Linked DNA regions of Neurospora crassa OR74A. Each later gene encodes a partner of the first gene's protein in a complex. Links are inferred from orthologs where the notes say so. Each region holds a gene or a part of one and is shown on either strand. Other genes may lie near its edges.

Region 1 (4,236 bases):
ACCCGCTGAACGGCTCCCATGCCCAGCGGACCCCGACCTGAAATGAACGATCCACCAAGCGCCCAAATGTCAAGAGGGAAAACCCGGGATATGACGCTATCTACACGTGCGGTTACAGTAGATCGCTGATGAATGCCCGGGTTTGCCGGTCGGGACCAGCTGGCTGCTGTTTCTTGATTGATTGATGGGAAAGTTGGGCGTGAAGAAGAGCCCAAGTTGACTGTCACAATTAAGCCACAATTACGGCCAATCAATAGATACTGTGTAACAAAGTGAAAGTTGCGCTTTCGAGGTACTTATTCAGGTGCTATGCCGTACCAGCAGCGCTCGAGATGCGGCTGGGCTGTGCTTGCTCCTGCACGATCTCACTCTTTCGGGTTCAATTTGGACAAGAATCCTTCGTTCCTGCGCCAGTACCTTGCTTCGATGTTGTTGGTCGGTCATTGGGGTTGACCTGAACCCTCGAAATGCGCTGCGGTTATTCCAAATAAAAGCTAGGTACATACACCTCCAGCGCTGGGAGGTTACGTACCTGTTCTTGGGGTTTCAAATTGTAAGGTACGAACAAGGTGTTCATTTGTCCTCGGGTCAATAGTGCACTTCCTACCTACGCTTGATTTGATCTCGAATGGATTTTCCGTGGACATTGCAATTACATAAATATACATTTTGGTGATAGCATCCATGAAGATCGCGGTGTCTTCGCGACCGCTTCGTTGCATCGTCTAAATTCCCCCAAATTCAGCGAACCCCCCCACCCCCCCGAACACACACCCCCCGGACCGGCTCCTTTAAACGAGCACTTGGGTCCACGACTTGGACATAGAGTAATTTCCAACGTCTCCCTTGGCTCGACCATTTCGACCGCAACTCCAGACTCTTGATCACGATAAAGGTCAAATTCCTCGCAGGGTCACCGCAGCCGCGCGTGCTCGCTGTCGTCGACATCTTCCCGACGTTCCCTCGCTCGAAATTACAGGCTACCTATCCGTAGGTACCATACAGGAGGGCCTTGGCCGGCCGCAATCCTACGCGCAAGCGGGCATACCTACAGTGCTTGCTTCAGCGGCTACCCCTTGCTTCAGGAGCACCCGTACACTCTAGAAGAGCTTCCATCCTCGTTCACCTTCTGCCCGGCAGCCGCAGCGCCGCACCCCCGTCACCCGTCACCAACCCAGCGTCACCCGCTCTCACACGCTGCTGCCGCCGCCGCCGCCGCCGCTCGCTCCTTGATTCCATTTCCTACCGGACACACACACACCCCCCCTTCCCCGGCAGAACCAAGACTTGTGATACCACACCACCAGCCACCATTCGCACCACGGCGCCTTTCGTTTTCCCCAATTCCTTTCTTCGCAACAGCAACTCCCTTGCGTCGGTTCATGTCGGCTGCCATCCAAAGGGCATCATACGAGCAGATTTCCCGCAGCAGCCATGGGCTTCCTCGGCGTCTATAGGGCCATTTACGATTACACGCCCCAGGGCGAGGGCGAGTTGACAATCTCCGAGGGCGACATTCTCTATGTGTTGGAAAAGAGTCAGGAGGACGATTGGTGGAAGGCGAAGAAGAAGGCCAATGCTGCCGACGATGACGAGCCCGTCGGCTTGATCCCCAACAACTACATTGAGGAGGTATGTAATGTGGTCCGAGGTCTAGATCTGGATTGCGTGCAGTGTCATCTGGGCACTTGTACCTGCTTGGAGGATAGCAAGCTGGCTGGCCTTGGCATTCAGATGGATCACTTGAACTGACCGCGCACACCATGACGCCAGGCGAAACCCGTATCATACGCTCGCGCGCTCTACGAGTACACGCGTCAGACCGACGAAGAGCTCTCCTTCCCCGAGGATGCGCAGCTCTCAGTCTTCGACACTTCCGACCCCGATTGGATCCTTGTTGGCCACGATGGCGACTACGGCTTCGCGCCCGCCAACTACATCGAGTTGGGCGATGGCCAGGCTGGCCAGGTCGAGGAGGAGGAAGAAGCGACTGCCCCCCCTCCTCCTCTTCCGCAGAGGACACCCAGCGTCAGCGTCGATGTAGCCAGCCCGCCCCTGCCCGCCAGGAGTGTGCCCTCCGAGCCAAGCACCCCTGTCGCCGCTTCCAACCCTGCTGCCGCCGCCATCGCCGGAGTTATGGCCAACCGCTCTTCTTTCCAACCTCCAGCGCCTATCAGTGTTCCCCAGCCCCAGCGACAGTCATACGCTTCGGAAGATTACGAAAATGAGGTAAGGTCCCCGCCGCTTCCGAGCCGCCCGCGGGGCGATTCGCAAATTGCTCCGGAGCAAAAATCCTACAGACCGGTGCCGCCGCCCGCTCAGTCAGCAGCCCACGACACCGACGACTATGGCATTAGCCCGCGAACCTCCCAGGCTCCTCCTCCTCAGACCGCCGCGCTTACCCCTGGCGGTTTCCACATGTACAACATCAACGAGATGACGTCGGTGATGGGCAAGAAGAAGAAGATGCCTACCACGCTGGGCATCAACCTGAGGACGGGAATGATTCTCATAGCGCCGGAACATTCCCACGACGGTCCATCGCAGGAATGGCGGGCCGATTGCATGACACACTACTCTCGGGAGGGCAAGCACGTGTTTATGGAGCTCGTACGACCAAGCAAGAGCGTTGACTTTCATGCGGGCGCCAAGGACACCGCTGAAGAGATCGTCGCGATGCTGGGCGACATGGCCGGAACTGTGCGCCTCGAGGGACTCAAGGAGATCATTGCCGCGGGAGCCGGAGGCAAGAAGAAGAAGGGTGCTGTGCTGTATGATTTTATGGCTCAGGGTGAGGACGAGGTTACTGTCGGCGTTGGTGATGAGGTAGTTATTCTCGACGATACCAAGAGTGACGAGTGGTGGATGGTGCGTCGCGTCAAGAACGGCAAGGAGGGTGTGGTTCCCAGCAGCTACATTGAGATCAACGGCGTGTGGGAAGAGCCGGAGACGGCCGTTACCGGTATTGCCGTGGGCATGTCGGAAGTCGAGAAGAACCGCCTGGAAGAGGCGCGCTTAACCAAGGAGGCTATCAAGGCTGCCCAGCGCGAGGAAGAGAAGGAGAAGCAGAAGAGGAACTCTGAGGTAGGCCCAGGATTGCAATTGCAAGAACGAAATAGTAGTTTGCCGGCCACAGATGATAACAGGAGAGGAAAACAGCGAAGCAGTAGGCGCGAACCCGGTCAGAACAGCAGCTCCAAGTCGTCAAGCAAGTCGAGTAAGTACACCCATGTCCAGATTTTCTTTCAGAGTATGCAGAATACTGACAGTTTGTCGCAGAGCCCGATCCTTCCAAAGTGCGAACATGGACCGATCGATCCAAGTCCTTCAGCGTTGAGGCCCAGTTCCTCGGTGTCAAGGATGGCAAGATCAGGCTCCACAAGATGAACGGTGTGCAGATCGCCGTGCCCGTCTCGAAGATGTCAGTTGAGGATCTCGAGTACGTGGAGCGCGTAACTGGCGAATCTCTCGACGAAGACAAGCCCCTATCCGATCTTAGGAACAAGCGATCCGCCGGTGAGTCTTCGAGGTCTAGTCGATCGACGCGCGACAGGGAAAGAGACCGTGGTTCCAGCTCCCGGGTTGGCGCCACCATCGATTCCTCGAAGAAGCCCGACTACGACTGGTTTAACTTCTTCCTTGGTTGTGACATACAGGTTGGTTTGTGCGAACGGTATTCTCAAGCTTTCCTGCGGGAGGCTATCGACGAAAGTGTCTTGCCAGATGTTGATGCTACTGTGCTGAGGAACTTGGGCTTGCGTGAAGGTGATATTATCAAGGTCATGCGGTACCTGGACAACAAGTACATGCGGAACAAGAAAGGCGAAGAGGGCGAGGGAGGACTCTTCTCTGGGCCAGGAGGTGCGCTCCGCAACAACACGAAGAAGGGCAGGCCGGCGCCCCCCGTCGAGGTCAGCAACACCGTTGATCCCAACGCTTTCTCTAAGGACTCGGGTGCTGGTAGTGGCAAGTCATCATCTCCTACGGCTGCGGCTACGCCAACACCGTCTGCCTCGAAGCCTTCCAGTGGCTTTGATGATGATGCTTGGGATGTCAAGCCTACCAAGACGAAAACCCCTGAGCCGGCTGCGCAAGCCGTTGCTCCCGCTCCTGCGGCGGCACCCGCTGCCGCTCCAGCCCCTGCTGCGCCAGCTCTGGTTGACGCGCCGGCCCCCCCTCCGCCGGCGGCTCTTACCAAGTCGATGCAGGAGTTGTCGTTGCTTACCCAGCCTTTGG
Region 2 (3,748 bases), on another chromosome or scaffold:
GGGTAGTCAGCGCGAGGGAAAGAACTTTGATATCAAGACCAGGGTGTTTAGACAGTTGACGGCTGCCAAGGAGAATGGCGGGTGTATGGTGCACAGCTTGCGCAGCTTGGGCAGCGCGGCCTTGAACATCTGCGCAGTGGCGGCTGGTCAGGTCGATATGTACTGGGAGGGCGGGTGTTATGCGTGGGATGTGACGGCGGGGTGGTGTATTCTCGAGGAGGCGGGTGGAATTATGGTTAGTGCAAACCCGGGGGATTGGAACCCGGAGTTGGATTCAAGGTTGTATTTGGCCGTCAGGGGAGCGGAGAGCGGACAGAAGGAGATTGTGGAGGAGTTTTGGGGGGTTGTTGGGGATGACAGGATGGAATATAAGCACTAATGGTTGGTGAACATGACGCGGTTTTGGGTACGGGCTTAGGTTATCAGGCATTGGGTCAAGTAATAAGCAGGCATATTGGATTTGGAAAGATGTCGACTAGATGAGTTAAGGCTATCGTTAGAAGGGTTGGATTGGGGTGCGATATCCGGGAAAGGGTCGTTCGCCCGTCAGCAATGTGAGTGACAGCTGCATCACGGTCCTATGGCCGATCAAGAAGAAAACTGAAGGTGATTTCGTTCCTTGATGTGTGAAGATGTGGCAAGGTACGTTGCAGAAAGGTTGATAAAGAAGGAAAAAAAAGAATTCGCATTTGATCCGACCCAGGCTCGATCTGGGGACCTTCAGTGTGTTAGACTGACGTGATAACCAACTACACCATCGGACCGTTGATGTGAATAAAGGTTTTCTGCGACTTTATGACTCATAAAGTTAGACATGTTTGATGCCATGGCCTGGAGTATTGCTATTCCTTTCAATGCTGGAAGGAATCGGCACCAACTGGTAGCTGAGCTGGTTGCTGTGGTTTACCTAGTGAGCATGTGCGCTTTATCTGTAACCTCTATAACCTGGACCACGCTGGTCGCTCACTGGGAAGAAACACAAACAGTTTGAATCCTCGAGTGCGTGGTTTCGAGTTTATAGCATGGACGTGAAGACGACGAACATCACATCATGCAGTTGACACAAGTTCAACGAGATGCCATTGTTTGGATGAAAAAGGGGCTCAGGGGCAGAGAGAAAGTGGAGACCCATGTACCTCGAAGCTACGGCAAGGCACAACAGCCATGTGCGCACATCGGGCCATCCCCCCGGTCCCGGTCATACTGCGAGGCATCATCCACCGACAACAAGAGACGGAGCTTGGACGTTGCAGCTGCCCTGGGATCCGCCTGACAACTTCCCACTGTAATCACACCGCGCTACGGGGCTGTACACTGGCAACAACCGACCCAACCTGACTTCCTCGAGATAACCTCAAACCCAATCGAACTTCATTTCCATTATCTAACATTGACCCGAGTATCAATCTCCACTTATTTCCGTGACCGTCTCGCTTAATCGAATCGTCAATTGCTCTCATCATTTCCAAGTCGGTCAATCAATCAGCGCTCCCGTCGACGACCGCATTACCACCGGACAGGAACCGGAAGCCGTTGCCCCCGGACTTAGGTTGCCGCTGCGATTCACGGCCCTTCAGCTTGAGAGGTAGCTGCTAGCCAAATTTCCAACCCACTTACACGCATATAATTACTACGAAGCCAACCGCGACAATGCCGCCAAAAATCGAAGCGCAGGAAATCGAGACGTACTGGAACATCTTCTCGGCGCGAACAAATGGCGGCAAGTTCCTGACGGGCGAGCAGGCGGCGCCGGTGCTGAAGAACAGTGGCCTGCGCGATGACCAGCTGGAGCGTGTTTGGGATCTGGCCGATGTGGACAATGACGGAAACCTTGATTTCGAGGAATTTTGTGTTGCGATGAGGGTCATCTTTGACCTTTTGAACGGGGTTCGTCTACCTCCTTCTGTCCTGAAGCTGCGAGCGAGCGAGCGAGCAAGCAAGCAAGCATGGGAGCAGTAATAGCAGCAGTATCAGAGAACTAACAGGGGGAGACGGTAACAGGAATACGCTGATGTCCCGACAACTCTCCCAGACTGGCTTGTCCCCGAATCTAAAGCCCACCTTGTGCAAGCGAACCGCGCGCTAACCGGCAAGGCGCCGAAATTCGAGCAAGTCGAAGATGAAGACGATACCCCCGGCTTGAAGGATGGGTTTGACTGGTACATGAGCCCGGCGGATAAGTCCAAGTACGAGCAAATCTATCAAGAGAACCGAGATATGCGCGGCGAGGTTTCCTGTATGTTTACATCCCTTCCTTTCCCTTCCCTTCCGGTCCCTAACCTCATACTAATCTACCTACCTACCCGCAGTCGCCGCCCTCCAAGACCTCTACGACTCCCTCTCCGTTCCCGACACCGACATCCGCTCGGCCTGGAACCTGGTCAACCCGTCGGCCTCCTCGACCATCAACAAAGATGCCTGCCTCGCCTTCCTGCACATCCTCAACTACCGCCACGAAGGTTTCCGCATCCCGCGCACCGTTCCCGCTTCTCTGCGGGCCTCGTTCGAGCGCAACAAGATCACATACAACGTCAACGACCCGTCGCAGTCGCGCTGGGCCCAAAAGGCCGACGATGAGACCTCTACCGGCCGCAAGGCCAAGTTCGGCGATCAGTACCTGACGCGCCTAGGCCGTTCCTCGTTCAAGACGGCCGGCACCGACTTCTCGTCCGAGCAGACGGACGATCAGTGGGAGGAAGTCAGGCTGAAGAAGCAGCTGGCGGAGCTGGACGAGAAGATGGCCAAGGTTGAGGAGGCGGCGAACCGTCGTAGGGGCGGGAAAAGGGATACAAAGCCGGCACTGGTCAAGAGGGAGCTGGAACAGCTGTTGGATTATAAGCGCAAGGAATTGAGGGACTTGGAGGAGGGTAAGGGGAAGGCGGCGGCTGGTGGGAGCCTGAAGAGCGTGGCGGATGATTTGGCGACGGTTAAGGAGCAGGTGGAAGGGCTGGAGGCGCATTTGAGGAGCAGGCAGGACGTGTTGGAGCAGTTGAAGAGGGAGATTGAGGAGGAGAAGGTTGGGAGGTAAGCTGTTGAGGGTCGGTACAGGGAGATGGGTTGAAGAGGTAGAGAGAGCGGGCTGTGATATTTTGCTGGGTTCCTCGAGGCGAAGACCATGGGCAGTTTGCCAGGACAGGAATGATTTGGGTTCATCGGTTACGTTTCATCTTTCTAAGACAGCATAATCTCTTAATGGCATTCAGTGGAGTAACAACAAGCTGCCTGATGGCGCATATCTTGACTGTGTAATTTTCCCAGGTGCTATGGTATATTACAATGAAAGGTATCATGTTGACTGTGCTTTTCAGGGGAATTTAAGCATCACAATCCACGCGCCTTTGCACTCAGCGCTTGTCTAAGCAACAACATGGTGGCTCTGCTTGTTGCCGCTAGAGGCTGTCGGGAAATGTGAAAGGAGTAGAATAGTTTGACCGTATAGATATCTTTTCGATTTCATCAGCGTGAAGAGGCATCGGAAATCCTAGTTTATGCCATTTCCAGTCTTATTCCACTGGTACCTTGATATACATGTCCTGCCAAATATGCAGGCACAAGCAATATGTTGCTTCGGAGTTGCTGTGGTTGGAACATCTCAAAAGGTACGAATGAATTGCATCTTCACATGGGCCCATCTGGATCATGTAATTACTGGTTTGAGCAGCTGAGTCCACGATAAATAAGCGTAAAGTGAGGCTGTCAGGTTGAAAATGAGTTGAAGAGGGTGTTGTGGATGCTATCGTAGGATCGA

Evidence for each region.
Region 2: NCU02978 (region 1) and NCU06347 share a complex: the UniProt entries of both Saccharomyces cerevisiae proteins name them as parts of the PAN1 actin cytoskeleton-regulatory complex. The link is inferred for Neurospora crassa OR74A from reciprocal best matches to the Saccharomyces cerevisiae genes SLA1 and END3.

The regions. Positions count from the first base shown.
Region 1 is NC_026501.1:8,519,947-8,524,182, forward strand, and holds the start of NCU02978 (cytoskeleton assembly control protein SLA1p), read left to right. Parts: upstream 1-1,434; coding exon 1,435-1,632; intron 1,633-1,773; coding exon 1,774-3,217; intron 3,218-3,279; coding exon 3,280-4,236. UniProt on the Saccharomyces cerevisiae protein: Component of the PAN1 actin cytoskeleton-regulatory complex required for the internalization of endosomes during actin-coupled endocytosis. The complex links the site of endocytosis to the cell membrane-associated actin cytoskeleton.
Region 2 is NC_026504.1:2,823,525-2,827,272, forward strand, and holds NCU06347 (actin cytoskeleton-regulatory complex protein end-3), read left to right. Parts: upstream 1-1,239; 5' UTR 1,240-1,650; coding exon 1,651-1,887; intron 1,888-2,001; coding exon 2,002-2,236; intron 2,237-2,309; coding exon 2,310-3,028; 3' UTR 3,029-3,241; downstream 3,242-3,748. Other genes in the region: NCU06348 (myo-inositol-1-monophosphatase), read left to right, coding at 1-379. UniProt on the Saccharomyces cerevisiae protein: Component of the PAN1 actin cytoskeleton-regulatory complex required for the internalization of endosomes during actin-coupled endocytosis. The complex links the site of endocytosis to the cell membrane-associated actin cytoskeleton.